Linked DNA regions of Pelodiscus sinensis. The protein of the gene in region 1 interacts with the protein of each later gene in a biochemical or structural test. Links are inferred from orthologs where the notes say so. Each region holds a gene or a part of one and is shown in the gene's direction. Other genes may lie near its edges. The genes, in order: ERBB3, tyrosine-protein kinase TXK, NRG2 and ZAP70.

Region 1 (7,861 bases):
GAACCGTTCCCGGGAGGCCCGGAAGGACCGTACCCCTCCGCCCAGGTTCAGGCCTGCTGTACGTATCACTGCACGAGCCCCTCCCATACCCCGACTCCTGCCAACATCCGCCCCCCCCCGGCTTTCCCCACACTTCCTTCACGCCCATGACGGTCTTTCCACCCACTGATCTGCCTGGCAATGTCAGGTACCAGCCTAATCAGAGCTGCCCAGCAAAACCTTGCAGCACAGAGCTAGGAGCTGGAACCGGCTTACCTGGGGCCAGCGATTATCTTCAGAGAAGTCCCAGCCGCTTGGGACGCTGTTGACTGTATGGGGAGGAGAGTCCTGCTCCGAAGCGGGTGGGTCAGTCGGACCACGGGATTGGTCCTGTGGGTAACAGCCATAGGTCCTTATCACAGCGACATGGCCTGGAAGGGAGGTTAAACAGCTTGTTTTAGCTGCTCTCTGAGCTCTTGCATGGGAGGCCAGTGATCTCACGTCTGCGGGATTCCTCCACTTTCCTCTGGAGCCTCTGGTTTTGGCCACCATCAGAGATTTGCCAGGCTGATAGGTCAGATCGCTGAGCCTCTATCAGCTGAACATCCCCTAACTCTCTTCTTTCTGTCTCCTCTAGGGCGCTGCCCCGAGACCACCCCCCAAGCCTATGTAAGGCAGAGCTGCTGGAAATGTGCATCTTGAGACATTGCCTCAATAAATGACTTTACATCTAGTGGGTGCGTGCGAGTCTGTGGGGGGAGAGAAAGGGCACCAGATTCTTCCACTTGCTGGGAGCTTGTGGCAAGACAGTGTTACTGTGGGAGGAAGAAGCGGAGCATTAGATGCTCTCCGGGGTGGCAGGAGTCTCTCCATAGCTCACTGGCTGTGTCCCCAAAGTGTGGGGCAGAGGCGCCTGCACTCCTAGCCACAGTTAGATGCAACTCAGCAGATAGAACAGAAAATATTAGTCCACAAGGACACACCATAGAACAGACTTGTCAGCACAGGAACCAGAAGCAGCCGGTACCATCCGTCTTGGGCGGTGGAGGGGGGAGAGGAGGCCCGGAGCCAGGGCTGTGGCCCTCCTGCCTCCCAAGCCATCTGCTGCTGACTTGCTCCCAGGTCCTGGTCCCAGGCTGCTCCTCCAGCCTTTGTCCTGCTTCCCTGGCAAAAGGTATCACCTGGTACCCCCTCTGGTTCAAGTCACAGAGGGCATTAGCCTTTGGGGAGGGGGCGAGGGAGGCTGGGGCAGTCTCCCTCCATGGAAGTCACTCTTGAAATTCCCATCACTATCTAGGACAGGGCTACTCAACTTTGGAAGCCCTGGGGGCCACAATGATACAACACACGCAGCAACGTAAGAGTGGTTGCCTATACATGCAAATATATTCAAATAGCTTTCACACTGCCAGGCAAGACTACACAACATGCAGGCCCCATTTATGTCAGTTCTGATATTAAAATGCGATATTTACCCGATTTCCACCCCTATGACCACTTTTAATGAGCCATGACAGTCCAGGAATTTACTAAAATGCATATCGACAAAAGACCATTATATTGATTTGCCATTGTGGAGTGTGTTCCCAGTGGAGCCATGTTCAAAGGATCCCCGCTGTGGGCCCTGTATAAACCTGATGGCTGCGTCTAGCTGGCAAGTTTTTCTGCAAAAGCAGCTGCTTTTATGGAAAAACTTGCTGGCTGTCTACACTGGCTGCCTGAATTTCCGCAAGAACACTGACGATCTCATGTAAGATTGTGTGTTCTTGCGGAAATGCTACGCTGCTCCCGTTTGGGCAAAAGCCCTCTTGTGCAAATGCTTTGCGGAAGAGGGCCAGTGTAGACAACGCGGTATTTTGTGCAAAAAAGCCCTGATGGTGATTGGGGCTTTCTTGCGCAAAGCCACGTCTAGATTGGCACGGACGCTTTTCCACAAAAAGTGCTTTTGCAGAAAAGTGTCCGTGCCAATCTAGACACTCTTTCCCGCAAATGCTTTTAACGGAAAAACTTTTCCGTTAAAAGTATTTGTGGAAAACCATGCCAATCTGGACGTAGCCAAATTGTATTGTGGGCCATAAGCAGGCTGTGGGCCACAGGCAGCCCGTGGGCTGTGTGTTGAGTAGCCCTGAGCTAGGGATTAGTACAGTGCTCAGGGAAACTGAGGCATGCAGTTACTGTAGGACAGAACTCTGCTGCATCCTGTTGGGGGGCTCAATGCATGCCAGGGGCTGGCCCTGCCTGGGATCATGGCAATTGGTGGATGGGCCTCACAGCATAAAATGAACCCTTTGGGCTGGCAGGGGGGCCCAAAGGCCCATCTGTGGCAGACTGGGGGGTGGAGGGTGTATTGCAGAGTGTGGCTGTTGCGGGACGACTTGGGGAGGCCTTGTCAGGGTTGTTGGTTGCTAAATAATCAACGCTGCAGAAACCGCACAAGCTGGGCAACCGGTCCTGTCCCTTAGCTGTTGGCACGTGCAGGGAGCGTGTCTCCCATGGGCTGTGCATGGGTATCCAGCGGGAGCCAGGGTTCCTCCAGCTTGGCACTTAGAGCCCTGTGTGTAGGTGCAAGAGGACTTGCCCAGCTCGTGTGCCATCTAGCAGCATGGTCTGCTCCTGGAGTGAGCTTGGCTAAGTGGTGCTATTGCACTGAGTGGGTTCAAGTGGAGCAAAGCAGGCCTAGCTCAGCCCAAGTGGGCCCCTGTTCTCGCTAAGGACAGGGTCTGGCTGCTTGCCCTACCAGCCTGGCCTCCCATAGCTGTCTGCAGCCTAGGCCCAGAAGTGTTGGGTGTCTGGAGAACATGCCCAGCCGGGATGCAGGCAGGATGGGAGCAGACTCCTGTGCTCCAGTTCATCTTTGGGCGGGGCCCCCTTTGCACCAGCCCTGAGGGCAATGTGGGGGGGGGGGCAATGTGGGGGGGGCTGTCTGAAGAGCTCTGCCAGGCTGATGCCCCGTTTCCTGGGAGAATTGCTGGGGACCCAGCAAGGAACTGGAGGTTGCGGGGAGATGATGTGACATCCTAGTGGCCTGCGTCTTTGTCAGCAGCCAGAGCTTAGGCCTAAAGAGAAAGTCCCTGAAATGGCCACCGGGGGGCGCCCTAGAGCTGGAACAGGTGCAGGCTCAGCTCCAAATCCTGATCAACCAGGCTGGTAATTTTAGGGGCGTGTTTGGGGTCCTGTCTCCTGGAGGCTCCAGCAGCTTTGGGAAAGGAGAGAGCCACCCTAGAGGCCTGAAAAAGAAAAGGTTTGGGTCTGTTTACTGCTGCCCTGGCCAAGAGGACACAGGGACTGAAAATGATAGCAGAGAAGGGCTGTCGGGAACCTTTGTTTACTTTCTCTCGTGACCTAGGGACAAAAGGCAACAAAGTGTGTGATTGGCCTGTGGAACTCTCTGCCACAACAACTCACCGGGGCCAAGAATTCACCTGGGGCCAATGACTGACTACATGAGTCTCTGATTAAAAAGGGGTAAAAATAACCAGGTGTGTTTCCACTGTCCCTAACTCCCTATGGCAAAGAGTGAAGTGGTGTGGGGGGGGGGGGCTACAAGGCCCTATTGCTCAGGGATTCCTGGGGCTTTTCACCTCTAAGTCCCTACTTGAACATGAAGGAGATTAGAAAATGGTCCCCGAAAATGGCCGATATTGGCCCATATGAAAAGAAGCGGTTGGGCTGAAACCAGTTCTTCATATTAGGTGCATTATGGTAACAGCTCTTGGTGCCCGACTCACTAACCCACCCCTCGCTGTGCTGGGTTCTGCAGGCTGTTTAATAGGTCTATTATGGTCGCAGCTAGCCCTGCTCTGCCCCCCGCAATCTAGCCACAGACCAGGGCTGCCAGTCACGGGACTTCGTGCTGTATAAACACAAAGATGGGCCCTGCCCCCTAAGACTTCCTGGGCTGGGTGCCAAGGACTGAATGGGGCAAGTCGCCACTCTCCGGAGGGGATGTTGGTAATGTGGGGGGGGGCTGCCTGAAGAGCTCTGCCAGGCTGCTGAGCTGGCTCCATGCCCGCCATGGGGCTGGTGCGGAGTTGCCGGCGCCCACCAGGAGTGCGTCATGCTGCTGACGACCCAGCTCCCCTCCCGCCTCCATCTCTGAGCTCATTTCCTCTCAGGCCTGCGCCTGACTGCGGCCATTGTTCCCCCCACCCACTCTGGAATCTGTAACGTGCCCCCCCCCAGCTGTCCACAATGCCCGTGCGCCCAGCTGTAGACGTGCGCCCAGCTGTAGATGTGCAGTGCTCTGCAGCTGATGATGGGCGGGAGCAGAAGTTTTGGACTGGCCAAGCGACCAGGGACAGGTGCAGAGCAGAGCTTGGGGGTGGCATGTGCCAACTGCAGAAACAAAACGCGGGTGGGAAGCCGAGGCGAGGCCCGCTAAGGAGTGCAGGGGCAAGATAGGGGCATGGGCCCGTGGTTGGCCCCCAGGCTCGTAGCTGGGGTACGTGAGTTCTAATTCTGATGCTCCCTTGTGATGCCCCCCCTCCACCGCTGTGTCTGCCTCCCCCGCCAAAGGGTATAGGGTTATTTCCCCACTTGGACACCTGGGTTCATTTCCTGTCTCTGCCCCCGGGGCCAGATCCTCACGGGAGTTGGAGATTTCAATGCCAGGTAGGCCCCGCACTGTCTGGTAGGAGCTGAGGGACGCAGGGCGGGATCTCTTCTCTGACCCATGCCTGGGGCATTGTAAGCTGCCTGGGGCAGAGACCCAGTGGCTGGTGCAGCCGGAACCTGCCCGACGATCAGCGACTGGCTGAGCCCTGCCCAGCCCAGGGGGCGAGGGGTGGGGGCACAAGGGGGCTCAGACCCAGTCCCCCGCCACCCCTCAGCTGGTCCGTCTCTGATTGGCTGGGGCGGGCAGCCAATGAGCGGCCGGCGCAGCTACTCCTGAATGAAGAGTGTGTGTGTTTGTACCCGCTCCAGCAGCTGCGGGTGTCCCGAGCGCGGATCAAAGCGGCTGCCCGGGCAGGCGACACGGGAGCGGGGCTGCCGACGCGGACCGAGGCACCGGCCGCCAGAGGCGCCGCCTGGCCCGGCCCAGCCCCTCTCCCTGCCCCAGCGGGGATCAGGTGGCGGCTGCCTCTGCCCGGCATGTCCTAGCCCGTCCGGGCTGCCTGCCCCGGCTGAGAAATGCGGAGGATCCTGCTCCCGGCGGGGTTCCCCTGCTGGCTCGTGGTCCTGTTCTGGCGCCCGGAGCTCGTGGCCTCCCAGGCGGGTAAGTCAAGGCAGGAGCGAGCTTCGGAGTCGCTCCGGAGCCGGGCACAGCGGGGGGGTGTTTGTATCCCGGGTGTCACTCGCGCTTCAGGCTCCGCTTTTGAACCTGCTCTACCGAGGGGCAGAGCCCCAAGAGGGCCCCCCCGAACCCCCCCAAAATCGTAATTCCCCCTCATGCCCCTTTGGGCGACCGTCCCTGCCCCCACCCCACAGGCACCAGAACTACCCCTCCCCCCCCACCTGCTCCGGGGCAGAGTTTAGCGCTGGGTGTTTTGCAGGGGTCTGGGGAGCGCAGGGCGGGACAGGGGGTCTCACAGGCCCCGGGCCGGGCAGCCCCCCAGCGGGTGTGGATCTGGCCCAGAGGTTACTCCCGGGAAGCAGGGGGCTGGACTCTGCACTGGTACCGGAGGTTACAGGCACCGTGGGCAAGTGCCTTGCAGAGGTCAGGCCCGGAGGTCGTGGCCTAGGGAGCCGATGGGAGGGGACCTGCCGACGAGCTGCAGCAGGGTGTGACCAGCCCCCCCGAGTCACTAGCCACTTTTACCCAGGACTGGCCTTGGTCTGACCTCCCCCCCCCCCCCCCGCATGAACCCTTCCTGGAGTGAATTTCTTGGGTCTCTGAGCTCATGGCAGTATCAGGGCCCCAAGTCTCAAAGGGATTCAGGTGCCTGCTCCTAGGGGAGTCAGGTGCGGGACTAACCGCAGGGTGCCGGGGCGGGACTGTACTGGTTACGGCTTTGGAAGAGAATCATCAGCCTCGCGCTTGCGGCGCCTCTGCCTTCAGCTGCCGGGGTGGCTCTTTGTGACTTTGATTTCTGGGGGTTGCGGGAAGGAGGCTGATCTGCCAGGTGCCACGTCAAGCCCCTGGCCTGACCATCATGTCTGTGCTGGTATGGCCCTGCCTCAGGGTCAGGGCCCGGAGGATCCCCCCCCCTCCGCATTTCTTTCCCCCCCAACAAAGATCACAGCCCCTATGGGTTTAAGCAGGAGAAATTAACGAGACACGGGAGCATGCGGGAGAGCCTCGGGTTTCTTTCCCGAGAGGCCGAGTCGGAATGTGCACCCGGCTGCGGGAAAGCGAGATGCTTGCAGATAAGGCCGGGCAGGGAGGGCCAAGTCTGGGGCTGTTTGGTATCTTGCTTTACAAGTTCTAGGTCTCTCCGCGGGGCCTCTCTCTTGAGTACACTTGATGAACAGGCTTTGGCAAGTTAAGGCACTTGGAATTAAAGGTGCTATTTGAACGGCCAACGTTTCCTGGCGCCCGGCCATCCGCCCGCTCCCTGGGCACCTGTTGCGTGTGTTTGTGGGGCGGGAAGGCCGTTTCGCTGGTGGGTGGGGCACTTTCAAAACTCTTCCGTGGGCTGGTGAAATCAGCAACAAAACAACTGGGCGGGCCTAGGGTGCAAAGAGCAGTGGGTTTATTCCCAGCTGAGCCGTGCATATGGCCAGCGGGAACAATTCACTCTGAGAGTGACGCTGGGACCTAGCGCTTTGCCACCCTCTCAAAAGAGCCCCCATCTTACCCGGCTTCTCTGCCACGCCGGCAATGATGCCTCACCCACGCGCCCAATGACGTCCTGTGACAGAGGGGGTGGGTAGGGTGGGCATATTGTTCCCCTCCTCCGGCTCCGTGCCTCAGTTTCCCCACATGACAGGGGGAGGAGCGCTGATTCTCTCTTGCAGGGCTGATTGGTTCGTGCTGAAGGGGGCTCAGATCCTTGGATGGCAACACCAGGGCAAACTATTGGGGTGAAGATTATAATGGGTCTCGTCCACCCTGCCAGCTCATGGTCCCGGGAGCCAGCCTGGGCTCTGATCTGGCTGCTAGGGACCAGTCTGGGGGATGGTTTCCAGCCCCTGCAGTTGGTTCCCTGTGTATGGAGGGGAAGAAGCAGCATCCCCCCATGTATGGAAGTGAGTTGCTGGGTCAGACTCCCTGCCCTGAGCTCTTGGTCACAGTGGCCTGCCAGGTCTGCCGACCTGGTTCTCTTACCATCCTGGGGGCAGCTCCCAGCGAGCCATATGGAGGCCTTAGAAGACGTAGGGAGCTGCCTCCGTTGCTGTGATGCCCTGGCCTTGCGCCCCACGGCAGGCGCAGGTTGGCTGGATTGTTCTGAACTGAATCTTTCCTGTAGAGCCCCCATAGCCGGTTTTGGGGGCTCTCTAAGCATGCGGGTCTGAGCGGCTCTAGGGCAGGGGGGCGGTGCAAAGCCACCTGAAAGCAACACGCCATGGGGACCTCCTGGCAGGCACTGGGCTGCTCGGAGGGGGGGAAAGGGCAGCGTTTCCGGGGGGGGGGGGGGGGAGGGACTGAAAGTAACGCCGGGCTGCTGCATGTAAGAGCGTATCATCCCCAGCCAGCTGGCTCAGTTTCTTAATGAGCCTCTGGCTGAGTCATCACCCAACCAAGGTGGTGTCCTGCCTTGCAAGCAGAGCACCTGGCTTCCGCTGCCAGCCCTGGGCGGGGCACAGGGCCTAGTGATGAGAGCTGGGACTCAAGGTTCTACTCCCAGGTCTGGCTTTCGCTGTATGGCTTTAGGCAACCCCCTGCCTCAGTTTCCCACTAGCCTGTCAGTGGAAGGACTCCTGAGGAGGAGTGTTCTCCAGGAGGGGGTCTGACATTCTAATGGGGAACATTGTCCACGGCAGGGACCCAGGAGTCCTGGAG
Region 2 (7,918 bases), on another chromosome or scaffold:
AAAAGTTGATGAATTTCAAAGGAGGAACCAATGGAAAAAGACAAAAGGACAGGGTGACATGAAGTGATCCAATGGGGAATAAGATTGTTTTAGTGGCCATGATTTGCATGGAGGATGAATAGTTAGGTATCTGAGTGATCACGTATGAGCACTTTGAAAGATACCCAGAGGTAGTTATACAGATAAGGAAATACAATTAAAAAGGCGAGGAGAAAAAAATAACATGCAGCTATTAACAGAGAGCAGTGAAAACATGTCAGTAATGGTACCAATGAGAACAGAGAGAAACATAGGAAGTAATTATAAATAGGAACAGAATTAAATGTTGTAATGTAAAAGATATGATGCTCCACAAAGAGGGGTTAAAGGCATTAGAGCCCTATGTTTGGATCTTCTATATCAACTGATCACACACATTCTTGAAATCACCCCACAATGAGAATAGAAGACTTTCTCTTTCATTGACTATGGGCCAAATTGTGCTCTCACTGAAATCCATGAGAATTTTGCCATTGATTTCAGTGTGAGCAGGACTAGGCGCTGTGATCTGGTAATTTTTAATATTACTCTTATGACTTTCTGAGCTATTTCTCTCTCTCAACTTTTCGGCTACGTCTACACTGGCATAATTTTCCGGAAATGCTTTTAATGGAAAAGTTTTCTGTTAAAAGCATTTTCAGAAAAGCGCGTCTAGATTGGCAGGGCGCTTTTCCGGAAAAGCACTTTTTGCAGAAAAGCGTCCGTGGCCAATATAGACGCGCTTTTCCGCAAAAAAGCCCCGATTGCCATTTTTGCGATCCGGGCTTTTTTGCGGAAAACAGTACTGTGCTGTCTACACTGGCCCTTTTGCGCAAAAGTCTTTCGGAAAAAGACTTTTGCCCGAACGGAAGCAGCATAGTATTTCCGGAAAATCACTGGCGATCTTACATGAGATCGTCAGTGCTTTTCCGGAAATTCAAGCGGCCAGTGTAGACAGCTGGCAAGTTTTTCCGGAAAAGCAGCTGATTTTCCAGAAAAACTTGCCCGTCTAGACACAGCCTTGATGTTTATTTCTTAGGGGAAAAGATTTCTTTATAGTTGATCTAGAGCAGGGATAAGAAAAGACCACAGGGGAAACATCTATAAAATCAGCAGTGTGTCAGTGCAAGGAATTAAACAACAACAGGCAGCTAGTAAAAATTGCAAAATCCAAATACAAAAAGCCTCAAAGCAAAATTAGTTGAATTAGAATGCCTCACAACAGAAGAGGATTTGGTGTAACAGGCATTACAGAAACATAGTAGAATGACAAAAATCAATGGAATTTTGTAGTACCTGGCCACAAACTATATAGAAAGATAGACAAGGCTGAAGTGGCGAGGGAGTAGTGCTGAATGCAAAATATTCCATGGAATCCAGTGAGAGGACCATGCAATTGAATCTATGGATATAAATCCCAAGCTGTAAGAATACCAATATATTAGTCTGCCTATACAAACAATCTCGGGATCAAGAAAAGAATATTGGGTGTATAATGCTGGAGAAGATCAGAGGCAGCAAAACTGAACAAAATGCTTTTCAATATCAATGAGCAAAAGGTATTTTAAAAAGTCATTAAGCATTCTTCAAGCACATCCGAGTCAAGAATCGTAATAGAGTTAGTCGATTTGCTGGACATAAAATAATTCATAGAAAAGTTAGGTCAAGGTCTTTTATTTTTGCTGTCTAATAATAAAAGAACATGGGGCTAACAAATTTCAGAAGAGATGTTAAACTTTATGGCTCAGAGTTCAGGAAAATCTCTGAGAGTACATTTACACTACTGGACAAAGTCATAGAATCGGAAGGGACCCCAAGAGGTCATTGAGTCCAGTTCCCTGCTCTCATGGCAGGACCAAGCACTGTCTAGATCATCCTTGCATGTGTTTGTCTAACCTGCTCTTAAATATCTCCAGTAATGGAGATTCCACAACCCCTGTAGGCAATTTATTCCAGTGCTTAACCACCCTGACAGGAAGTTTTTCCTAATATCCAACCTAAACCTCCCTTGCTGCAGTTTAAGCCCATTGATTCTTGTCCTATCATCAGAGGCCAAAGAGAACGATTTTTCTCCCTCCTCCTTGTGACACCCCTTTAGATACTAGAAAACAGCTATCTTGTCCCCTCAGTCTTCTCTTGTTTAAACTAAACAAGCCCAATTCTTTCAGTTTTCCCTCATTGTTCATGTTTTCTAGACCTTTAATCATTTTTGTTGCTCTTCTCTGAACCTTCTCCAATTTCTGCACATCTTTCTTGAAATGTAGTGCCCAGAATTGGACACAAACACCAATTGAAGTCTAATCAATGCAGAGTAGAGCAGAAGAATGATTTCTCATGTCTTGCTCACAACATTCCTGTTAATTAAGTCAAATTAAGATTCTCAACTTCTTAGTATTAAGATACTACGTTAATTGCATAGCTGAAGTCAAAGTACCTTATCTCGGCTTTTGGCGCTATCTACACTACGGGAAGTCAAAGGGAGACCACTCTCCTGTTGATTTCCCTTACTCCTTGTGAAAGCAGGACTACCAGCAACGACTGGAGCGCCCCTCTCAGTTCGAATTAGCTGTCTTAACTAGACCCACTAAATCAAACCCTGGAAGATCCACAGTGGCCACTTCAATCTTCCTCTATAGTGTAGATGTACTCTAAGGGGTTATGAGGAGATATAATGTCAGGGGAGGAGCAAATTATCACTTTCACTTAATGAGAAGGCTCTGGCACCTTCCTCTGAAGCATCTAGTGCAAGAGTACTGTCAAGTATAGGCCACTAGCTTAAATGGATCTTGAGTCTAATTCAATATGGTAATTCCTATGCTCCTTCCACCTCAAAATCTATTAAGAAAAATCACACTGTGTAGCATTTTCAGCAATGTGTGAGGTTCTGAATACATTTTAGATTAATAGGAAATAATATAGTACACAACCTCATTTCATGACTAGCAATACTTTGGGTTAAGAGAAATTTACCTGTCATGTTTCTTTCCAATGCCTCTAACCTACTTAAATGTAACAGCATATTTTTCTTTACATCCACATTTTCCCTTATATTTTATTTTGTGCACATTATTGCCTTAGCAAAATAAACTCTTTCTGATGTGATTTTAGTACAACTGAAGTATTTTAATTCATAGAAACCTGAGGGACGGCCCACATTTGAAGATTTGCTGCGTACAATTGATGAGATAGCGGAGAGTGAAGATGCTTTCTGAAGAGAGGAACAGAGGCACAAGAATTCTACAGTACAACAAAGAATAAACGTTGTAAAGACACAGAATTATTCTTTGAGCATCATCGTGCAAGATTTTGAGTATGCTGAATGAAATGTGGCGAGCCTAAGCATTATCATTTAGCATTTTCTCAACAGACACATGGAAAAATGATTATGCATTGTAGAGAAAGATGCACAATATATTCACCAACCTGAGCAATGCATGCAGCCCCCAACTGGGGAAGGTAGCTCCTGCACCCAACCTCTTCTGCCAAAGACCCTGCCCCATCCCTTGCTCTCACTGATTGGCCTGCCAACATAGCTCCACGCCCTGGGTGGTGCCCAGAGCATCCCAAAGCCTGTGCCAGCCTGCAAGTGCCCCTAGCAGCCCCATATCTTGGCCAGCCCACCAGTGCCCCGAGTATTCCTGAGGAGCCCTGAACCTCAGTCAATCTGAGTCCAGACTGCTCAGAAGAGCTTTCAGTCTGATGCAGTCCAACCTTGGGGCTGTGGCAGGAAGCATTGGCAGAGGTTTATGGAGGCTTAGTCTTTCCTATTATCTATTGCCCATGTTAATCAATGTAAGAACACTCCTAAGCTCCATCAGAGGAGTCACCATGAGATTAGTAAAAGGTTGGGATTGATGCATGGAGCAAATGACAGGATATGGCCAAAGCACAAACACTAAGTGCAATCCTGTGCAAGTGATACATTTAGTGTTCATGCTTATGAGTTTCATTTACTCTTACTGCCAGTCAATAGTAGTAATAGTCAATTGTGCATTTAAAAGCTGTGCTTAAAACCTAAAAGCAAGGTCATTTGGTGAGGGCCACCTACTCCTATAGCAATGCTTCCAAAGGTTCTAAATTATTATTTCCTCACAGTCTGTTGACTGGTGATTTATGCCATATACTAGGGCCAATATTCTTGCTATGCTGTTAGTCTATTTTACACACTCCCCTCAATTTACTTTTCTTTGTGCGTAGCAAAGTACCATGGTCAACAGCGTAGACCAATGGCTCAAGTGCAGCACCGAAAGTCCTCTCTGTGGCACTGAAAGTCCTCTCTGTGGGACTGAGTCCTAATTTATTTTATGCCAGGGACTGTTTCTTGGGACTTTTTCACCCAAAGAGCATTGGGGCCCAGTCCTGAGCCCAATTATAGTGATGAACAGCACGAACTATACATCACAGCTGACTTTCAGTGAACTATATCACATTGACTTTAACTATTAAATAATTTATATACTCTTTGTACTATAAATGTATAATGTACACATCTATTTATATGAAATGTAAGTGTTCCTGAAAATGTTAAAACACAAGTTGCTCTATTTTAGGTTACACAAATAGTGTGATATATGGTATCTCTGGATGAAAGAAAATATACCATGAATGTTGATAAAATGACAGATTTCTATCATTCTATCGGTCATCAGTTGTGCACAATGAAATAAGCTTTATAGATTGTATAGCAAATGTCATACTACAGTATGTGTATAATAAACCACATGTTAATTGTTTGGAATCTGGAATAGCAGTTTGCCATTGATTTATTGTCAGAAAATGATTTATTGGCCAAATATATTGCTGGCAGAACTATTGACTTTCATGGATTTACATCAAAGATGTAGGACTGAACATCTTCAGGTATGTGTGTTAAGTGCTTACATTAGGATTCAATGTCAGAGGATGCGTATGTACAATACATACAGCTCTGAGCCACAATATGAAATATCTGACATATTTAGAAATTTTATATGAATAAAAGTGAGGATTACAGTAGATGTCCTGCTGATATGGGATGGAGTTTACCATTGCAGAATGGGTCTGATCACAAAAAATGCTGAGCACTACTTATATAGCATTGAGCTCTCTTAACCCTCACCAAAGGCCCCCATGTGTAAATGAACTATAATATGCATACAAGGTGAGAAATTGATGGGGATTATTAACTAGGACCTAACACGGCAGTCTTTTCTATTGAAATCACTTGGGGTGCATCTAGACCACAGAGTTTTTTTGGGAACTCCGTCCACACTAATCACACTCCGTCCACTCTAATCACAACTCCAGAGTTCCTGTCTCCTTCTAGCTCTTAAAGCTGCAGGCACCCGGGACAAGCCTTGTGGCAGGAAGCCGGCCTTGCAGCAGGACCTTGACTGCATGGCTGTGACTGCCACAGGCCTGCTGACAAGTGGCAGAGCCACAAGCTCCCCGAAACCCACCTGGCCTGCACAAGGAGCCACACCAGAGATCCCAGGACCCACCCGGGGGCACCAAATACCAGGCGCCTTCCTGGACCGGGCCAGAGACCCTGTCCCTCCTGAGCTGTGGGGGGAAGAGGAGGCCCTGAAGGATCTCAGCTCCAAGCACCGCAACGCAGACATTTATGGGTGCATGGCCGAAGGTCTGGCCCACGGGACACCACCCCTGCACCCTTGACCAAGTTTGGAGCAAGGTCAAGGAGCTCCGGCAAGGGTACACCTGGGCCAGAGAACGCAGCACTCTCTCCGGGGCAGGACCACACTCCTGTCCCTACTACGAAGAGCTCCACCAGATATACTGGGTAGTGGGCAAGCCCTTTCCCCACACTTAATAGCCCTCTTGGTGTACTGGGTTTATTAATACAAAACAAACTGTAAATAAAACTCAAAGTTCTCCAAATAAGGTCAATTTATATATTCACACAATCCAAGGTTTCTCTTTCTTCTTCCAGGTGTTCCTGAATGGAGCCTCTGTAGTTCTCCCTGCTTGATCAAAAGACCTCCAGACCTCTCTGCCTGCAGAGTTTTGCAGTTCCCTTTCCTGTTCAGAGAGCTTGCAGACTGACTCAGCTTCCTAAACTGTCCGCCATTCTTCACGGCAACTTCCTACTCCTTTTAAACACAATTACCTGATTCATCTCCAGCACCTCATCCTCTATCAGGGCTGGATAAGCTCCATGCTCTCCAGCCCATGAAGGCAAAACACCCTGTTTCAGGGCTCAGACCTTTCTGATGATGCGTGATAAGGGAGTTGTTATAGTAATACTTTCCTTTTAAAAAACAACCTAGGAAATTGCATACAAAATATCAAGTTTTATATGTAAAGTTGTTTGGATTGCAAAGTCAAGCATGTGAAAGTTGGGAAATGCTAGATTTAGTTAGCACAGAATTACAGTTGTTGGGGAATTTCAGCAAAACAGTGACTTGTCAGATAATGCCAAATCATCAAACCCAAAATGTTTTGTGGAAACATATTGGATTCAATTCACTCTCCATGATCTATAAGGCCTCCAGGAGCCACTGCTCTGAGGTAGCTATGCCATATGGACAGCCTCAAGGTGAGGGAACCCCAGAACTTCCAGGGTTTACAATTTCAGGGCTACCCACCAGGCAGAGTGCCCCCCCCCCCACACACACACACATACTGTCCCACTGCCTAGTGAAGCAGTTGCCCGGGCACTGGACAGCCCTTGAGCCACAGACCTTGGATAAAGGCTCTGGCAGCTGCTGACTCAAATGTACTTTCTTCTTGGAAGTGTTAGGGCCATTCAACACAGAATAGTAGCTGTAAAACTGAGAAGAATCATGACAATTTCATTTAGCATCTGCCATGCTCCTGGAAACATATTTCATATCATCATTCTAGGGTACATTAACAGGCGAGTCACATGTAAGAAATTAGCAGTGGTTCCACTCTACTTGGCAATGGTAATGCCTCTACTATAGTAACATATCTGGTTCTGGATGATACAATTAAAGAAATGTTTGGACAAAGTGAAGAGAGTCCAGGGGAGAGCCAAAATGTGGACAAACGGACTAAAGACTTTTCGAAAATCTAATCTATAAGGAAAGATTACAAAAACTGGGTATGTGTAGTCTTAAGAAAAGGATGAGAGGGAGACGAGACCTGATAACATGTTAAGGAGAAATTACAGAATCCCTGTCTTTGCAGGCTTTTAAGAAGAGAGCAAACAAATGCCTGCCAGAAATCTTCTACCTATATTTAGTCGTGCCTCACTGCAGGGGGTTGAACTAGATGATGTCTCAAGGACTCCTTCCATTTCCATATTTCTGTGATTCAATTCAGAAATACCATGTGTCTATTTTCTAAATGAAAATTATATGGAATTTCCATTTTGGAGGAAATTTTGAAATATCAAAACACCAGAAGCTCTGTATTTTGGTCAGGTTTTTTATAGTTTTTAATTACACGATCACATACATTTTTTCCCATAGGATCCCTGCCAAATTCAATGCAAAGTATGGACACAAAGGAATAGATTCAAGGTTTCACTGGCAACTGTTAATCTGGCATTTCCTAACTTTTGATGTGTGACTTTGCAATTAAAGTTATGTTATTTTAACATACTTTTCAATATGTATTTTTATTGAAGTTCATCTAAAATGTGAAGACTGAATTCCAGTGCTGTCCTCCATCAACACACTCAATTTAAACATAGTCTAGGCTCCAAATTGTTAATTTTGTATTGGGTCATCTTATCATTAGAGTTGGCTGCCGTGTTCAACTTTTGAATAGTCTGAAGAGAAATCTGTAAATGATATTTTATAATTTTCTCTGGAGAAGGTCAATCACTCTTCAGACACTTCTTTCTTACTCTTTTTATTGGTATAACTTAGTTTCACATAACAATAAGCGCAGCACAGAAAATCTGCCTGAATTACACCAAACATCTACTATTCTT
Region 3 (7,926 bases), on another chromosome or scaffold:
TACAGACAGAGGCCAGTAGGCGTCATCCACAGCCCAAGCACAGCAACCAGCAAGGTACTGACACTACATCCCAGTTATGAAGCCGGGGGCACCTGTTGATCATATGAACACAACGAAGCCACTGCCTGCCCCGAGGAAACAGCAGCAGTAGACACAGAACACGCATGCGGCAGGGGAAAGTGAGAAAGTATCTGACAACTTGGCTTCGGTCCCCAAAACTACCTAACCCTTCTGCAGCAATGACATGCTCAGCAGTCTCTGATCTGTAAGGAGGAATAATTCTGCGGCCCTCGTGTCCTCCCTTCTCGGAGCACTCCCCACAGTACCGTTGTATGATTTGTATTATAGTATCACCGGGAGGACTCCTGGAGTCAGGTGCTGTACGCACAGAGAGAGACAGAGCCCGCGAGATAAGCAGACAAGACACAGGGTTGCGAAGGTGGGAGGGAAGCGCCAGAGAGATTAAGTGATGTGCCCTGGTTGCAGAGTTAGTCAGCAGCAGAAGCTGTAGGAACAGAAATCGTGTCTCCTAGCACTCCATCATGCTGCCTCCGATCGGCTCATATTTCTAAGCAGCCCCGGGACATAGACACTCAGTGATACTAATGCAGGCTAATTCCTGGCCAGCTGATGGCTTGTTACCCCAGCTCCCTTCCTAGCTTTGTTCCTGGTCCCAATTGATTTTAGCCATCCGTGGCTGTAAAAGTCAGATCTTTTACTGGCCCTTCTTCCGTTGAAATCAAAGGGGGGAGCAGTGCCAAGCAGAGAGAGCCTGCAGGATCGGCTGGCTACTGTTGCTTTACGGAGCCTCATACGATATGGGGGTCAATAAGAAAGCAAAAAGCCCAGAAGCACGACATGGACCACACAACAGAAACATTCGGTGTTAATGGGCAGAACAGCTAAGGAGCAGAATGAATCTTGGAGGGAAATAGGTTGCCACTTTTAGTCTTCTTGCTGAATTTGCCATGCTCCTTATATGTTTCTTTTTCTTTAAAAAGCTAAATGCCTGGGGCTAATGGTATGAACCAAGAAACAGGCTAGAATGCTCATTTCTTAAGCATTTGAAGGAAGTTGGCAGAATACTAAGCTGGAAATCAGACAGAGTGTCAAAAGACAGAGGACTGTAATGCTGCCAATTAGCTTTATTTCTGGCCAGCATGATGTGTGGCTGGTTGGTGTAGTAAGAAATCTGCACTGCAGGGTTTAGTCCACACAGAAAAATAGTAGCAATGCTCTGCAGCTTTCTTGGGTGTGTGTGTGTGTGTGTGTTAAATGCTTTATAAATGGTGGTATTCATATTTTCCAGATGGGGAGAATGAGGTTAAGAGACTATCCAAGGTCACTCAGCACACCAGTAGCAGAGCTGACCCCTCCGATCACTAGTCCACCGCCCCCCGCGCTACATCACATTGGTTCCCTGTCTCTGATAATCTCGGGGCTAACGCTCCCTGTCATTCTCTCGCTTTCCTTTCTCGCTGCCAGTTTGGATCTCCCCATCCCTGGCAAACGAGCCAGCAGAGACCTGCCAGTTACACTTCTCAGCAGCGTTCCTGCTCTGTGGGGGCCAAGCGGGTTATGTGCTTGCCTCAGGGCTGCTCCGGTTTGCAAACAGCCATGGAAGAAGACAGTGAGTTCCATGGGGCAATATATGAGCCCCGTGCGCCAGCTCCTGTGGGGGGCGATGCTCCCCTCGTACGGCAGCCAGAATTAGAATCCTCTTCCGCAGCTTTGTAGAGGGCAGAGACTCCCTGGTACTCATTAAGTCTAGCGCCTGCTGGCATCCGCACCCCAGAGCAAGCAATCCAGAGTCCTGCCTCCTGGCACCGTGGGGAAGGACTTGGGGAATTAGGCGCCTGTGGGAATGTCAAAGGCAGAAGAATCTCTGTGTCACTGTAAGCAGCACAAAGCCAGGTCTGAGGGTTTGGCTGCTTTGGGCGAATCAGCAAATGCCCTCTCCTGCCAGCTGTCAGTCACACAAACATTTAATGTGGAGCGGATCCTGACAGTTTGCTTGGTGATTCTCCTCCCCCTAGTTCTATCTAGCAGCAGAGCACAGAATCCTAGAACACAAGAACCAGGAGGGTCCAGTCCCCTGCCCTCAGGTGCCTTACGGCTTCCCACATAGCAGGACCAGGCCAATTTTGAAGGGGCAGTTTCATCTCTAAGGTTGTGTCTTGACTGCAGGGTTTTTTTTCGAAAAAAGTAGCCTTTGTTCGAAAAAACGTCACCTGCGTCTAGACTACAGCCACGTTCTTTCGAAATGAAATCGAAAGAACGCGGCTTTTCTTTCGACAGCGGTACTCCTCATTTCACGGGGAATGATGCCTTTTTTCAAAAGCGCTCTTTCGAAAAAAGGCGGTATGTAGTGCAAACTGTGCTTTTTCGAAAGGGAGTATCCAGACTGCCTGGGTGCTCTCTTTTGAAAAAGCAGCTTGCTTTTTCGAAAGTATGGATTGTAGTCTAGATGCTCTTTTTTGGAAGAAGCTTTTTCGAAAGTATCTTTCAAAAAAGCCTCTTTCGAAAGAAGCTTGCAGTCTAGACGTAGCCTAAGGAGGAGAAGCATCCCCAACAGAGAAGAGCGCTTGAGCTGGTCCTAGAATAGTGATAGAGATGTAGCCGTGTTAGTCTGGTGTAGCTGAAACAAAACACAGGACTATGTAGCACTTTAAAGACTAACAAGATGGTTTATTAGGTGATGACCTTTCGTGGGCCAGACCCACTTCCCCAGATCCTTTGACTTTCCTTCCCGTGCCATAGGAATGTCACCCACAAATCCCAATAGTCGCAGAAAGGGGCTGGAGCATTCCAGGACCAGATCAGATCCCACAAGTGTGTTTCCACAGTGCTCTTTTCCTTCCCCTCGCGCCGTTCAGCCAGTCATCCCGGGTCTGCTGTTTGGTTGGCAAGTCTTATTTTGGTGCCTGCTCAAAACATCAGGAAATGGTGCCAGTTCTTACAATAGGAGGGTATCCTAGGACATAAAGGAGGCCAGCTGGCACAGCCACACAGCAAACGTCACTGGTCGAGGAGAAGCGATCTTGGACGAGATGGTGCAATCCAAACATCGGATGTTCTTTGAAGTGGTGGCCTAAGGCGGAGGACTGGGGGGAGAGGGAACGCATTGACCAGAGGACTGACAACAGTCAGAGGTTCTCAGCCTAGGATCCCCAGGGAGGTCACAGTTAATGTCAGAGGTCAGACCACACTGCCAACTTGGAGGGATGACCACCGCCTAGATGGAAGGGGGAGTCCCAGGCTGGTCCTGCCCTGGAAAAAATCAAGAGCCACTGGGCTAGGTCACCACATCAAACAGTCCAAATGCACAGCCTCCGAGAGTTATTGCTGCTTGTTGACCCGTGTGGTGCAGGCTGGTAAGTCTTAGGGGAGGGCTTAGTGGGCAGATGTCCACACTGCAGGAGCCACCGACATGACTGGCAATCGCTGGCACCTTTATTGGCAGTCTCAGTGCAGAGAGGCTGAAGATTAGAATGGGGCTAGAGCCTGAACCTTTCATCCTCAGATGTGGTCCCTGCAGGGCACGGGAGAAGGGCTGCATCCATCCCCCCTGCCCACGTGGCGACTGTTCTGGGAGTAAAGACACGGCCCCAGTGTCGGGGGAACGTCGCCTGGCGCAAAGGCTGGGATTGTCAAAGACGCCCCAGGGAGCAGTAAGGTGACTAACAGCCAAAGGTGCCACTGAATATTGTATTAGAATTAATTTTATTGACCCCACTCTCGGACTAGGAACCAAACGCCTCAGCTCCCAGGGGTGGGTAAGGGAGATCGAATCCCAGCCTTAAATCACCACGGACAATTAGAAATGGAAAATACATCAGTGGGTTGCCTCTTGGAAGTGAGTAGTAGGCCCGGAATCAGCAAGGAATTTAAGCACCTCGTTAAGCTTGCTTTTAATGAGATTAGTCCTGCTTAAAATTAAGCAGAGGCTTAAGTACCTTGCTGAACTGGGGCCTTACTGCAGGTTTCTCTCAACCTAAAAAAACCTCAGGGTCATGTGGACATAGGGAGGTGTAGGGGAGAAGCAGAAAGCCAAAGAGAAATATGTTACTAAGTATATAGGGTACGTCTACACAGCAAGGCTAAAGTCAGATTAGCGTAGCACGAGTCAAAATAGTTTAACTTGGCATTTGGCGCTGTTTACACAGCAGGAAGTGGAAGGAAGAACAGTCTTCCTTTACTCCTTGTAAAATGAGGGTTACAGGAGTTGGGAGTGAGAAGCCCTTTATTTTGAAATAAAGCCTTGTGGTGTAGACACTCTTTGTAACAGGGCTGTGTGGCTGTACCCTATGATAAATGTGCCTAATAACACAATCCCTTGCTTGAAGTTGAAGAAGAATGACTCAGACAGACGACATGCTTTAAGTATCCCGAGTAGTGGGAGAAGTATGCATTAAAAAACAACCCAAACCCAGATGGCTTCCTACCCGCTGGAGATCTGAGTGGACTCATGCACTATCAAAAGCCAGGGGTAACTCGTGGGAGAAAGGTACATGCATGACACTGATTTCAACTCTGCACGGGAAAGATGGTGGAATACAAGGAATGTCAGTATCACTACTTCCACCTGTTCTGGATAATTCCACCCCCATTCCATTCTGATTTGGAGATACGGATACACGGGCTGACACCCCCTATTGCACCATCCTTACCCATCGCCCCCAGTGATTTGCAATCCCATTCTTGTCTACCCCCCTGGGAGTTTTGCGCTGAATTCTTGCCGGACTTTGCCTGTAGAGCACCGAGCCCTGCCTTTCTCCCTGCCAAGGACACTCCCGGCACAGGAGCCCCGTGCACGTGATTGGGGCTGCCCCCCCCACTGAAGTCAATGGTAGACGGCGGCAAAGCAGGCAGGCCCAGGCCGCGGGATCCCCCCCCCCCTGTGTCATTTTCCACCCCAACGGGCAGCCCCCAGGGGCAGAAGGCGCCTCTGAAAAGCCGCCGCTAATTAACGGCCCGGGAGGCCCGGAGCGATGGTTTTCGAGCGGATTGCGGGGACGTAAAGCGGGGCGCAGCCTCTCCGGAGACGCGGCTTTTCTGGGGTCCCCTCGCCGCCCCCCTTGCTCGGAGCGTGCGTGTCTGAGGGAGGCAGCGGGCCCCCCCTGGAAGGAGCCATTTTCTCCTCCTTCCTTAGGCCAGTTCGCTCCTCTCCAGCCCCAATTCCCAGGTAATCCCGAGCCGAGCCAGCGGCGGGGGAGGGGCTCGGCCGCCCCAGGCGCCCTGCCAGCTCGGAGCCGGGGCCTCTGCAGCGCCGGGGCCCCTGACTTGGCGATTCCGCTGCAGCCGGGTAAGCGGCGCGTCCTGCCCGGCCGGCGTGTGGCTCCGCGGGGCGCGAGGGGATGCGAGCGGAATGCCAAGGGCTGCAGAGAGCGGCTCGGCTCGGCGCGCTCCCCAGCCCGGCCCGCTCGCTCCAATCGGGGGGGGGGGCGCTGCCCATGTAGCCCAGGGCCCCGCCTGCTGCAGCCACCTGCGCCCCGCGTCCTTGCTGCAGGCGGAGGGGCGGGCGGGGCCGCCCGGGCTCCAGGCCTGGCACGGAGGTAGGTGCCTGAGCGCGCCCCACGGGGTTGCCCGGCGCCCCCGCCCCGCGCTGCATCCCCGAGGGGGCGGGGAGTCCTCGGCACCTCCCGCAAGGGCGCGGGCTCCGGCTCTCCCGGTGCGGGGCGGGGAGTCCCGGAGATCCCCCGCGGGGGCGCCGCGCGCCGGATTCCCCGGGATCCCTCCCCAAGGGCGCTCCGGGGGACTCACCTGCCCAGCTGCGGGGCCGGCCCGGCCCGGGGGACAGCGGGGCCGAGGCGCGTCCCCTCCGGGCCCCGGAGCTGCCTCGGGGCCCCGGCCCCCCGCGCGCGCTGCGCCCCGGCGGGGCCGCCCGGGGAGGTGCCGGGCGGGCGGGCGCCGAGCTTACGCCGTTTCCGGTCCTCCAGCGCCTCTGTTTCCCCTGCCGAGGCGGCGGCCCCCCAAATGGCCTGGCCAGAGGCGGCCGCTCCGCTGCTCCGCGCCGCCACTGCAGGAGGCTCCGTGCGCCAGCAGCAGCAGCAGCGCCCGCCCCGCTGCGCCTCCCGAGCCGCCGCAGCCCCGCAGCCCGGACAGCAGCCGGCATGAGGCGCGCCCCGACCCCCGGCTTCTCCATGCTGCTCTTCGGCGTGTCCCTGGCCTGCTACGCCCCCAGCCTCAAATCGGTGCAGGAGCAGGCGTACACCGCGGCCGTGGTGCTGGAGGGCAAGGTGCAGGCGCTGCCCGGCCCGGGCAATGGCACCCGCGAGCCCCCCGCCCCCGCCGGCGCGGTGCTGGTCAAAGTGCTGGACCTGTGGCCCCGCAACAGCGGGGGGCTGCAGCGGGAGCAGCTGATCCGCGTGGGCAGCGCGGCGCCCTGCTTCAAAGTGAAGCGGAACCGGCGCTACATCTTCTTCCTGGAGCCCACGGAGCAGCCCCTGCTCTTCAGCCCGGCCTTCGCCCCCCTGGACACCAGCGGCAAGACCCTCAAGAAGGACGTGGCCAGGATCCTGTGCGCAGACTGCGGTGAGCGCCGGGAGCGGCTGGCGGGAGGGAGGGGGGCTTGGGGTGTGTGTGTGTGTGGGGGGGCGGACGCAGCGGGGGGGCCGGGCAGGGGCGCGCACCGGCAGCCCCCCGTGGGGCACCACGTCGGGCGGCTGGAGCGACGGGCCGTGCGCCACGGGCTCCCGCCGCCAGCAGAAGTTGGGTGTCTTGAGCGTGCGAGTTGTGTCTGCGGGGTCGGGGGTCGGCGCCTGCCCGCCGGCCGCTGGGGACTCGCCGGGGCGGGCAGGGGGGCGACACTGAATTTGGTTGGCGGCTCTGGGACTTGCTCCGGTTTCCAAACTCCTGCTGGCTGCAGGGCGAACTCTGCTCCTGTAAACAGCGCCAGGCGGGCGGCTCCCCGCGACCCCGGCCGTCGGCGTGTGGAGCGCGTCTAGCCCCGTGGGCCGCGCTGCGCTTTCCAAGGCTCCGGAGGGGACCCGAGCCAGGCCTCGGAAGGGGACCATCCCTGGTGGCTTGATCTGTCCTTTCACTGACGAGTCTAATGCAGCCTGGAACAAAATCGCCTCCCGTTGGCGAGGATGATCCGTCCCGGGAACTTATTCCTGCTGGACGTTGTCGGTTGCGTTCTCACACCTCGGGGCAATCCGAATTGACCGCATCCCTCCCCTCTCTGCTAGTCGCAGCGCGAGCGTGCAGGTGATCCGGCAGCTAACGCCCAGGGGTCTGGTGGAATGGGGTAGAGCTCACAACGCAGTCCTCGGTGTCGGAAAGTCAAACAGACACAGGCTGCTTGGATACAGTTTGCAGCTGAATCCAGAGTCAGGTTTGCAATTAGACTCTGCTGCTCCTCCAGACCTGTTCTAGCACCGCAGTAGTTGGGGTCAAGTCTCTTCTAGTTTCTCATATTTCGTGTTTCTTTTTGTTGTGGATTTTCTTTGATGGCCGCAGCCAACCTACTGAATGAAAGACCTTGTCATGTCCGGAGGCTCCAGCTCTATTAACTGTAGCTACTGAATTGTATCTGAGGCATTGCTTTCTTAAAGGAGAAAGCATGTTTACAAATGCAGACAGATGTTTTGTTGACAGGTGCATGGGTTTTGGAAGAGACTCGTTTGCAGGGAGGTGTGACAAGTTTTGAATCAGTCAAAATGGCGTGATAATGTTCTGAATTTTTTTTCTTCCACCATATTTAGTTTTTCTTTGAGTAACAAATGGTGCGATGTCTGTACTGTGTAAAGCCGCATTTCTCAAATTGTGGGTCCCGACCCTCTGGGGGGTCGTGAGCAACTTAGGGGGGGGGGGGGGTTGTGGTGTCACAAAGTTTGAGAACCCCTGGTGTAAGGACTTTTGTTTTCAAGTAAAGATGTCAAATGATTCAACAGGAAAGTGTTGGTTTATGACTGCTTCTTGCCC
Region 4 (6,914 bases), about 22 Mb from region 1:
GAGGCTCCAAGATCGATTGGTAAATCCCGATCGACTGGTTGGTGACCACTGGCCTACAGGCTACATAAGAAGCACTCTCCAAGCTAGCACGAATGAAAATTTCATACAGAGCATGACTTTTTTACACTCTAAAGGCTACGTCTACACTGGCCCCTTTTCCGGAAGGGGCATGTTAATTTCAGCGATCGTAATAGGGAAATGCGCGGGGGATTTAAATATCCCCCGCGGCATTTAAATAAAAATGTCCGCCGCTTTTTTCCGGCTTTTAGAAAAGCCGGAAAAGAGTGTCTACACTGGCCCCGATCCTCCGGAAAAAGCGCTCTTTTCCGGAGGATCTTATTCCTACTTCAAAGTGGAATAAGATCCTCCGGAAAAGGGCGCTTTTTCCGGAGGATCGGGGCCAGTGTAGACGCTCTTTTCCGGCTTTTCTAAAAGCCGGAAAAAAGCGGTGGACATTTTTATTTAAATGCCGCGGGGGATATTTAAATCCCCCACGCATTTCCCTATTACGATCGCTGAAATTAACATGCCCCTTCCGGAAAAGGGGCCAGTGTAGACATAGCCTAAGGGTATGTCTACACTTGCAGCCTATTTCGGAATAGAGCTGCAAATGTAGGCATTCGGAATTGCAAATCGAGCCATGGGATTTAAATATCCCATGGCTGATTTGCATCTTTCCGTCTGGGCACCATTTTTTGAAATTTACTAGCCTGGAATAGCTGCCCGCGTCTACACGCGGCAGTGAAACGGGTGTTCGAAATAAAGCCCTAGTTTGAACTACCTGTTATTCCTCCTGCAATGAGGTTTAACAGGTAGTTCAAACTAGGGCTTTATTTCAAACACCCGTTTCACTGCTGCATGTAGACACGGGCAGTTGTTCTGGGCTTGTAAATTTCAAAAACGGCGCCTGGCCGGGAAGATGCAAATCAAGCACAGGATATTTAAATCCCAGGCTTGATTTGCAATTCCGAATACCTACATTTGCAGCCCTATTCCGAAATAGGCTGCAGTGTAGACATCCCCTAACTGAAATGTAAGTACAAAATGTATAGAAGTCCAATTGATTTTTAAAATAATTATATGGTAAAAATAAAGAAGTGAGCAATGTTTCAGTAACAGCATGCTGTGGCACATTTGCATTTTTATGTGTGATGTTGTAAGCAAGTAGTTCTGAAGTGAGGTGTAACGGGGGAGGTATGCAAGACAAATTGGACTCCTACGTGGGGTACTGTAGCCTGCAAAGGTTGAGAGCCCTTGTCCTCTACTACCATGATATTTCCCTGGCTTCCCATTTAGGCTTCCCGTTAGCTTAAGTGCAATTTGGCTTGGAAGCGGAGAGATCTGGGGTAGGACGTTCCGAGTGGGGAGGGCATGCAGCGTGGCTGTCCTGTGTGCAACGTTAAACCGTTAATATAGATGAGTGGGAACAATCTCATACTGCTGCAGAATGAAACGTAAGACAAGAAATCCCAGATTGGAAGCTGTCAATAGAACCCCGTGAGGGGAAGGGGAACAACATTCAGGGGCAATCGGTTCATCAGATGCTTTATCTTCTATTTCACCTTTCGCTCGGCCGAGGATCTGAAAACACGTTACAAACCTCTCTGGGCACGTCTAAACAGCAGGGCTAAAGCTGGAATCAGCCACAAAACTTCAGCTAAGTCCAAATAGCTCATTTCGGCTTTTGGTGCTGTCTACAGAGCAGGAAGTCCGAGTTAGCGCCCTCTTCTGCCAACTTCCCTTCCTCCTCGCACAGTGAGGGTTACGGGAGTCGGAGTGAGAAGTCGTCCAGCTCGACATCATGTCGAAATAACGGCTTGCGGTGCAGACGCGGACTCTGGTATTTTGGAATAATGCTGCTGTGTAGACGTAGCCTCAGTGGATTAACCCTCCGACTGCTATGCCTTGATGTTTCCCACACCTGCACCAAGGGACGGCCCGAGGTATTCTGGCACCCCGGGCATGGGCGCACGGCGCTGCCCCTGGGGCTCACAGCGTATGCGCGAGCTCGCCCTTGGGGAGCGGGCCCACCTCCCTAGGTAGCGCAGGCTCACCCCCTGGGGCGCACGGCGCATGCGTGGCCTGGTTACAGCTGCTGACGTGCAGCCCGGGCCTGTCCCTGGGGCCCATGGCACATGCGCGGCCCGGCTACACCCGCTGGTGCACAGCCCAGGGCCTGCCCCTAGGGTGCACAGTGCAAGCGCGGCCCAGTCTGGCCCAGTTGTTGCTGCTGGCGCATGCACTGGGCCATGTAGGGCCCTGCGGCCATAGAGGGGAAGAGCGTTGCTGGCCGGCACCGCGGAGATGTGGGCGGGCCATCACTGCGGGAGTTGGGCGCGCGGGACGCCGCACGCCCCTTACAGCTGCCATCAGGCACCCCCCATCGGTTGGCGCCCTGGGCAGCTGCGCGGCTCGCCCATGCCTCCATCCAGCCCTGCCTGCACCCTGTCTTCACAGGGGACACCCCCCAGAATCACCCTCCAAATCTAGCTGGGATCCAGCTTGCACCTGTCTGAGAAGGGCAGGGAGGTTGTGATACCTCCCTCCAGGTTCAGTGAATCTCAACCCCTGCCCTTTAAACAGGCAGAAACCACACCCGGGAGGAGGCCGACCACGCTGGTGCCAGGAAGGCCCAGGCAGGTTTGCACACGGAGGGAGGGACTATGTGACCACTGCCCTCTTGTGAGAGCCATTCAGAGCTGTGCTTCCCTCTAGGGCGGGGGGGGGGGGCAATAATTTTTGACAGGGGGCCCTCCAAGAATGTGGACAGTGGCCGAGGGCTGCACCCTTCCATGATATGAATGGAGGAGGTGCGGGGTCTGGGATGGAGGTCGGGTGCAGAAGGGAGCTTGGGGTAAGGGAGGGAGTTTGGGTGAAGGGGGCAGTTGTGGCCTGGGGCACTGGACTGGGGGACTGGGGGCTGGATTGTGACCTAGGGCAGGGAATTGGGGTACAGGAGGGGATGCAGGGAGTTGGGTTGTGAGCTAGGGACTGTGATCTGGAGCAGGGGATATGAGTGCAGGAGGGGGGCAGAGGATTTGGGTATGTGGAGTAGAGGCCAGGAGTGGGGGGCTGGGGGTTGGGGAAGGGAGGGCCTGGGGTGCCAGAGGCAGAGTCTGGCCACGAGACTTACCAGCCAGCAGCCCATTCCTGAAATCAGCCTCCCTGCCAGCCAGTGTTCCCTCTAATCTGCGGGAGCAGCCCAGCTTCATGGGTGATTCATCAGCCTCCCCCAGTTAGCCCTGAGCCTCTGGCTGGGCAGGGCTGATTAATCCCCTCTGAAGCAGTTTAGAGGGACCACTGCCACCTGCCCCGCCCCCACAGGCTGCAGCCATGTGCTCTGGAGCCCCTTGTGCTTCGTGGCTGCCTGTTATTGAAACAGGCCACTCCCCTTGGCTGGTTTCTGGCCAGACACCGGATAATGGCATTGTGCTGGGGATGGTAGCAGCTGCTAAAGCTTCCCCCTCCCCTCCAGACTCTCAGTTTTTAAAGAAAAACCGCCCAGAGCGGCGGTTTGGAGCGCGTGCGGGTGGGGCGAGGCAAGCAGGAGCCTGCCTGGGGCAGAGTCCATGGGCTGGATCCGATGGCGGGGCAGGCCGGATCTGGCCTACAGGCTGTATTGTGCCCAGGCAGCTCTAATGGCAGGAGGCCGAGGAAGCGGACGGACTCCAACATCCGCGTGCAGCTCATGGCGTGTCTCCCGAGGTGCACTGGACCAAAAGCCAAGGCCCCACTCCCCCAGCCCTGCACTTGCTTAGGAGAACCGAGTTTCTTTACCTCCCTCATTTGAGGTTGTCCCACCGCCCAACAGGCAGCTATGCAACCAGATCAGGCGGGTTCTGAGAACTTTTGCCCCCTTCAGAGCTGCAGAGTTTTTCTCTCGTCTTTGCTTTCCTGTCTTTGCAACAAGGAAATAGGTCACATTTCAAACAGCCCGTACGCGGGGGTTTGTCAATGTCAGTCAGCACAGGGGACAGGACGTGGCCCGTTTCCCTCCTGCTCGCTTCCAAAAGCGCCACGGCACATGCATGCCCGGGAATATCGGTCCCTCTCACCATGCCTTTGATGTAAGGGACCAGCCGAGCCCTTCGCCCCGTCTGCAAGCCCAGGTAAGCTGCCGTGCGGGACTCGCTCGGTCCTTCATGCCGCTGCTGGCGTCCCTTCTCTTCTTCTTTCTATGCATCCTGAGCGCGCCGGGGGCCTGCTGATGGCCACAGCGCAAGGCCTGAGTCTAAATCCAGTTGTGGGCCCAGTTTTGCCCAGGGTTACTCTGGATTTCATGAGCGGAACGGAAGACCAGAGCAGAAGAAAGCTGGGGGCAGTTAGACTCATGATGGTGGTTAAATGGTCTGACATCCTGTTCGCCAGGGCGGCTCAAACTTTTCCACCCCCGGAGCCACCTCCAGAACCTCTCTCCCAGCACCCGTGGCCAGGGGGGATGTAGCCAGCACCCCTGGCCCCTGTTAGCCACATGGGAAGGAGAGCGTGGTTAAGCTTCCCTGACATTTACGAACCCCGTCAAGTACAGAGCGGATCAGGGCCAAGTCTCAGCGCCCAAGACGCCCCACAAGACAGGCTGTTGGCAAATTTTCACCATTCCCCTTTGTTCCTTTGTCATCCATGTCATCTTGCCCTGCACTTGTCTGGCAAACACGGGCACCACTGCAAAGCCCTGTCAGTCTGGGCATGGTCCGGGGGGCTATAGAACAAAGTGGAGCAAAGGAAATTGGAGCCTTTTTTAATGGCCAGATCTGTCAGAGGGTGGACAAAGCCCCCGAGGGAGGCTCTGGAGACCCCACCGCGTGGGTCAGCTGTAAGCAGATCAGGACAAAGAACGGGAGAGAAGCGCAGAGGGAAGGGCTCTGTCTTGGCCGGGAGCAGGGGTTAGGTGAGCTCGAATATTTGCCACCTCTGCCTGATTTGTGTGTGTTGTCAGTTCAGTCGCCTTTCTCCCCCGGGGGAGGCTCCTCTGTGGCCCACTGGCATTGTGTTCATGCTTTGGCCTCGCAAGTGAGCAATCCGGAACGTCGGAGCAAACAGGCTCGAAGCCGCGGTCGAGTTCCGTCTTAGCGTGTCCAGCCGATGGGCTTGGCTTTTTCAGGACCTTGGGACCCTATAGGCTGCCTCTCTCCGCTGCTGCCTCTGCGCACCAATGGAACGGGCCTGGGACCTGTTACGAGCAGTTGGCCCACTGGGGAGTTAGCCTGGAAACTGGATGTGCCTGGGACACAGGTTAAGAGTCATGAGACTGAGGGATTTGGGCTTGTTCAGTCTGCAGAAGAGAAGAGTGAGGGGGGATTTGAGAGCAGCCTGCAGCTCCCTGAAGGGGGGGTCCAAAGCGGATGGAGAGAGGCTGGTCTCAGTGGGGGCAGGTGGCAGAAGAAGGAGCAATGGGCTCAAGGTGCAGTGGGGGGGGGGCTAGATTGGATATTAGGAAAAACTATTTCCCTGGGAGGGGGGGAATCTCTGTCCCTAGGGGTGTTTAAGTCCCGGCTGGACACAGCCCTGGCCGGGCTGATGGAGTTGGGGCTGGTCCTGCTTGGGGTCTCTGCCTGCCCTGGGGCTCTAGGTCAGGCTTTGCGCTGGGTACGCCAGGCAGCCCTCGGGCAGCCAAGGTCTGGAAAGGTCGACTTGGCTCCAGCAGGGCAACAAATCTCTTAGCAAGGGCCCCCCGAGCCGGGCCAGTCGCGCAGGAAGCGGAGAGCCCAAGGCCTGGCCAGGCCCTGGAGCCAGAACCATTTTGCACCTCGGAGGGCAGAGCTGAGCCGTTTCCTGGGGAGAGAGGAGGGACGCTGGGACTTGCTGCTGCCCCGCCGGGTGAAGCCCTATGGCAGCGAGGGGCAGGGCAGCGGCCAGAGTCGGTGAGGCGGGTGCGGAATCACCGACGGGGGAGTGCCGCTGCTAACCCCGCTGCCCTCACGGAGCGCGAGCCAGACTGCGACCCGCGGCCCGTCCAGCGACCTCGGCGGCACGTCGCTTTGTTCCCCGGGTGCCCGTCTCCCCCGTTCCTCATGGCTCCTTCGTTCATTTGCAGGCTCTGGTCAAGCTCCCGTTTGACAGGGTCTAGACGTACCAAGCGGGCAGGGTAACCTCACGGCCTAAGGGCAGCGCTGCAGAGTTCTGAAGATGGGGGGACGGGAGGGGTTTGTAACAGAGCAAAAGGCCACGGCGGCTCCGTGGAACGCTCTCGCTCGTGGCCTGTCAGTGGCAGGGTGTGTTTAGACCAGACTCTGCTGCACGGCGCTTGGGGCTTCGGGCTTCGCTGCTGCCCGATGGCGCACGCCCAGGTCCAAGCGAGGTCAGTCTGGAACGCAAGCGGGAGGGGGGCGGGGTGAACGAGGTTCACGTGGCGTCTTCTCCCAGCAGGAGAAAAGGGGATCGAGCGGCTCCCTCGGAAGGACAGCTCCTAGGGGAGGGAGGGCCAGTGGTTAGAGCAGCAGCCTGGGTTTCAGGAAGCCAAGGTCCAATTCCCTGCTCTGCCCTGAGCGGCCCGAGGCACAGTAGGAGAGAACAGCCCTGCATTGCCCTCCAGGGCTGCTGAGAGAGCTCGGGAGGTGCTTGGCTCCTCCAGCGACGGGGCCGGCTACATGCCCGAGAGACGTCTGCCTTGGCCAGCACAACGGGCCTTTCACCGCGCAGTGCGTGGAACCCGGGCGCCCGCGCAGCCATGGCGCCTCCTGCTGGTCACGCTGGGAATTGGCACCCTCAGCGCTGGAGCGCCCCTCCGGCCGGGTTCTGCCACCTGACAGTAGGAGCCGCATCCCTCCCAGACCACGGCGCCCCCCCTCGGGGCACTGACCCCCCCCAGAGTCACCCCGCAGGGACCCCCTATCCCCCTGTCACCGAGGGGTGGGGAGTCCCCGGGCCCTGCCCCCCCAGCCGCGGCCAGATGGGGCTCTCAGGTTTCTTAGTTC

The links.
Region 2: the proteins of ERBB3 (region 1) and tyrosine-protein kinase TXK form a complex in vitro, tested with the Homo sapiens proteins (2 studies listed by BioGRID and IntAct, with this or other methods). The link is inferred for Pelodiscus sinensis from reciprocal best matches to the Homo sapiens genes ERBB3 and TXK.
Region 3: the proteins of ERBB3 (region 1) and NRG2 form a complex in vitro, tested with the Homo sapiens proteins (2 studies listed by BioGRID). The link is inferred for Pelodiscus sinensis from reciprocal best matches to the Homo sapiens genes ERBB3 and NRG2.
Region 4: the proteins of ERBB3 (region 1) and ZAP70 form a complex in vitro, tested with the Homo sapiens proteins (2 studies listed by BioGRID and IntAct, with this or other methods). The link is inferred for Pelodiscus sinensis from reciprocal best matches to the Homo sapiens genes ERBB3 and ZAP70.

The regions. Positions count from the first base shown.
Region 1 is NC_134729.1:4,212,985-4,220,845, reverse strand, and holds the start of ERBB3 (receptor tyrosine-protein kinase erbB-3), read left to right. Parts: upstream 1-4,849; 5' UTR 4,850-5,109; coding exon 5,110-5,194; intron 5,195-7,861. Other genes in the region: RPS26 (small ribosomal subunit protein eS26), read left to right, coding at 1-58, 617-652. UniProt on the Homo sapiens protein: Tyrosine-protein kinase that plays an essential role as cell surface receptor for neuregulins.
Region 2 is NC_134715.1:87,676,931-87,684,848, forward strand, and holds the start of tyrosine-protein kinase TXK, read left to right. Parts: upstream 1-4,912; 5' UTR 4,913-7,918. Other genes in the region: tyrosine-protein kinase Tec, read left to right, coding at 3,153-3,230. UniProt on the Homo sapiens protein: Non-receptor tyrosine kinase that plays a redundant role with ITK in regulation of the adaptive immune response. Regulates the development, function and differentiation of conventional T-cells and nonconventional NKT-cells.
Region 3 is NC_134727.1:2,334,985-2,342,910, forward strand, and holds the start of NRG2 (pro-neuregulin-2, membrane-bound isoform), read left to right. Parts: upstream 1-4,919; 5' UTR 4,920-5,305; exon of another isoform or gene 5,306-5,555; intron 5,556-5,939; 5' UTR 5,940-6,113; coding exon 6,114-6,534; intron 6,535-7,926. UniProt on the Homo sapiens protein: Direct ligand for ERBB3 and ERBB4 tyrosine kinase receptors. Concomitantly recruits ERBB1 and ERBB2 coreceptors, resulting in ligand-stimulated tyrosine phosphorylation and activation of the ERBB receptors.
Region 4 is NC_134729.1:26,549,155-26,556,068, forward strand, and holds the start of ZAP70 (tyrosine-protein kinase ZAP-70), read left to right. Parts: upstream 1-3,905; 5' UTR 3,906-4,109; intron 4,110-6,914. UniProt on the Homo sapiens protein: Tyrosine kinase that plays an essential role in regulation of the adaptive immune response. Regulates motility, adhesion and cytokine expression of mature T-cells, as well as thymocyte development.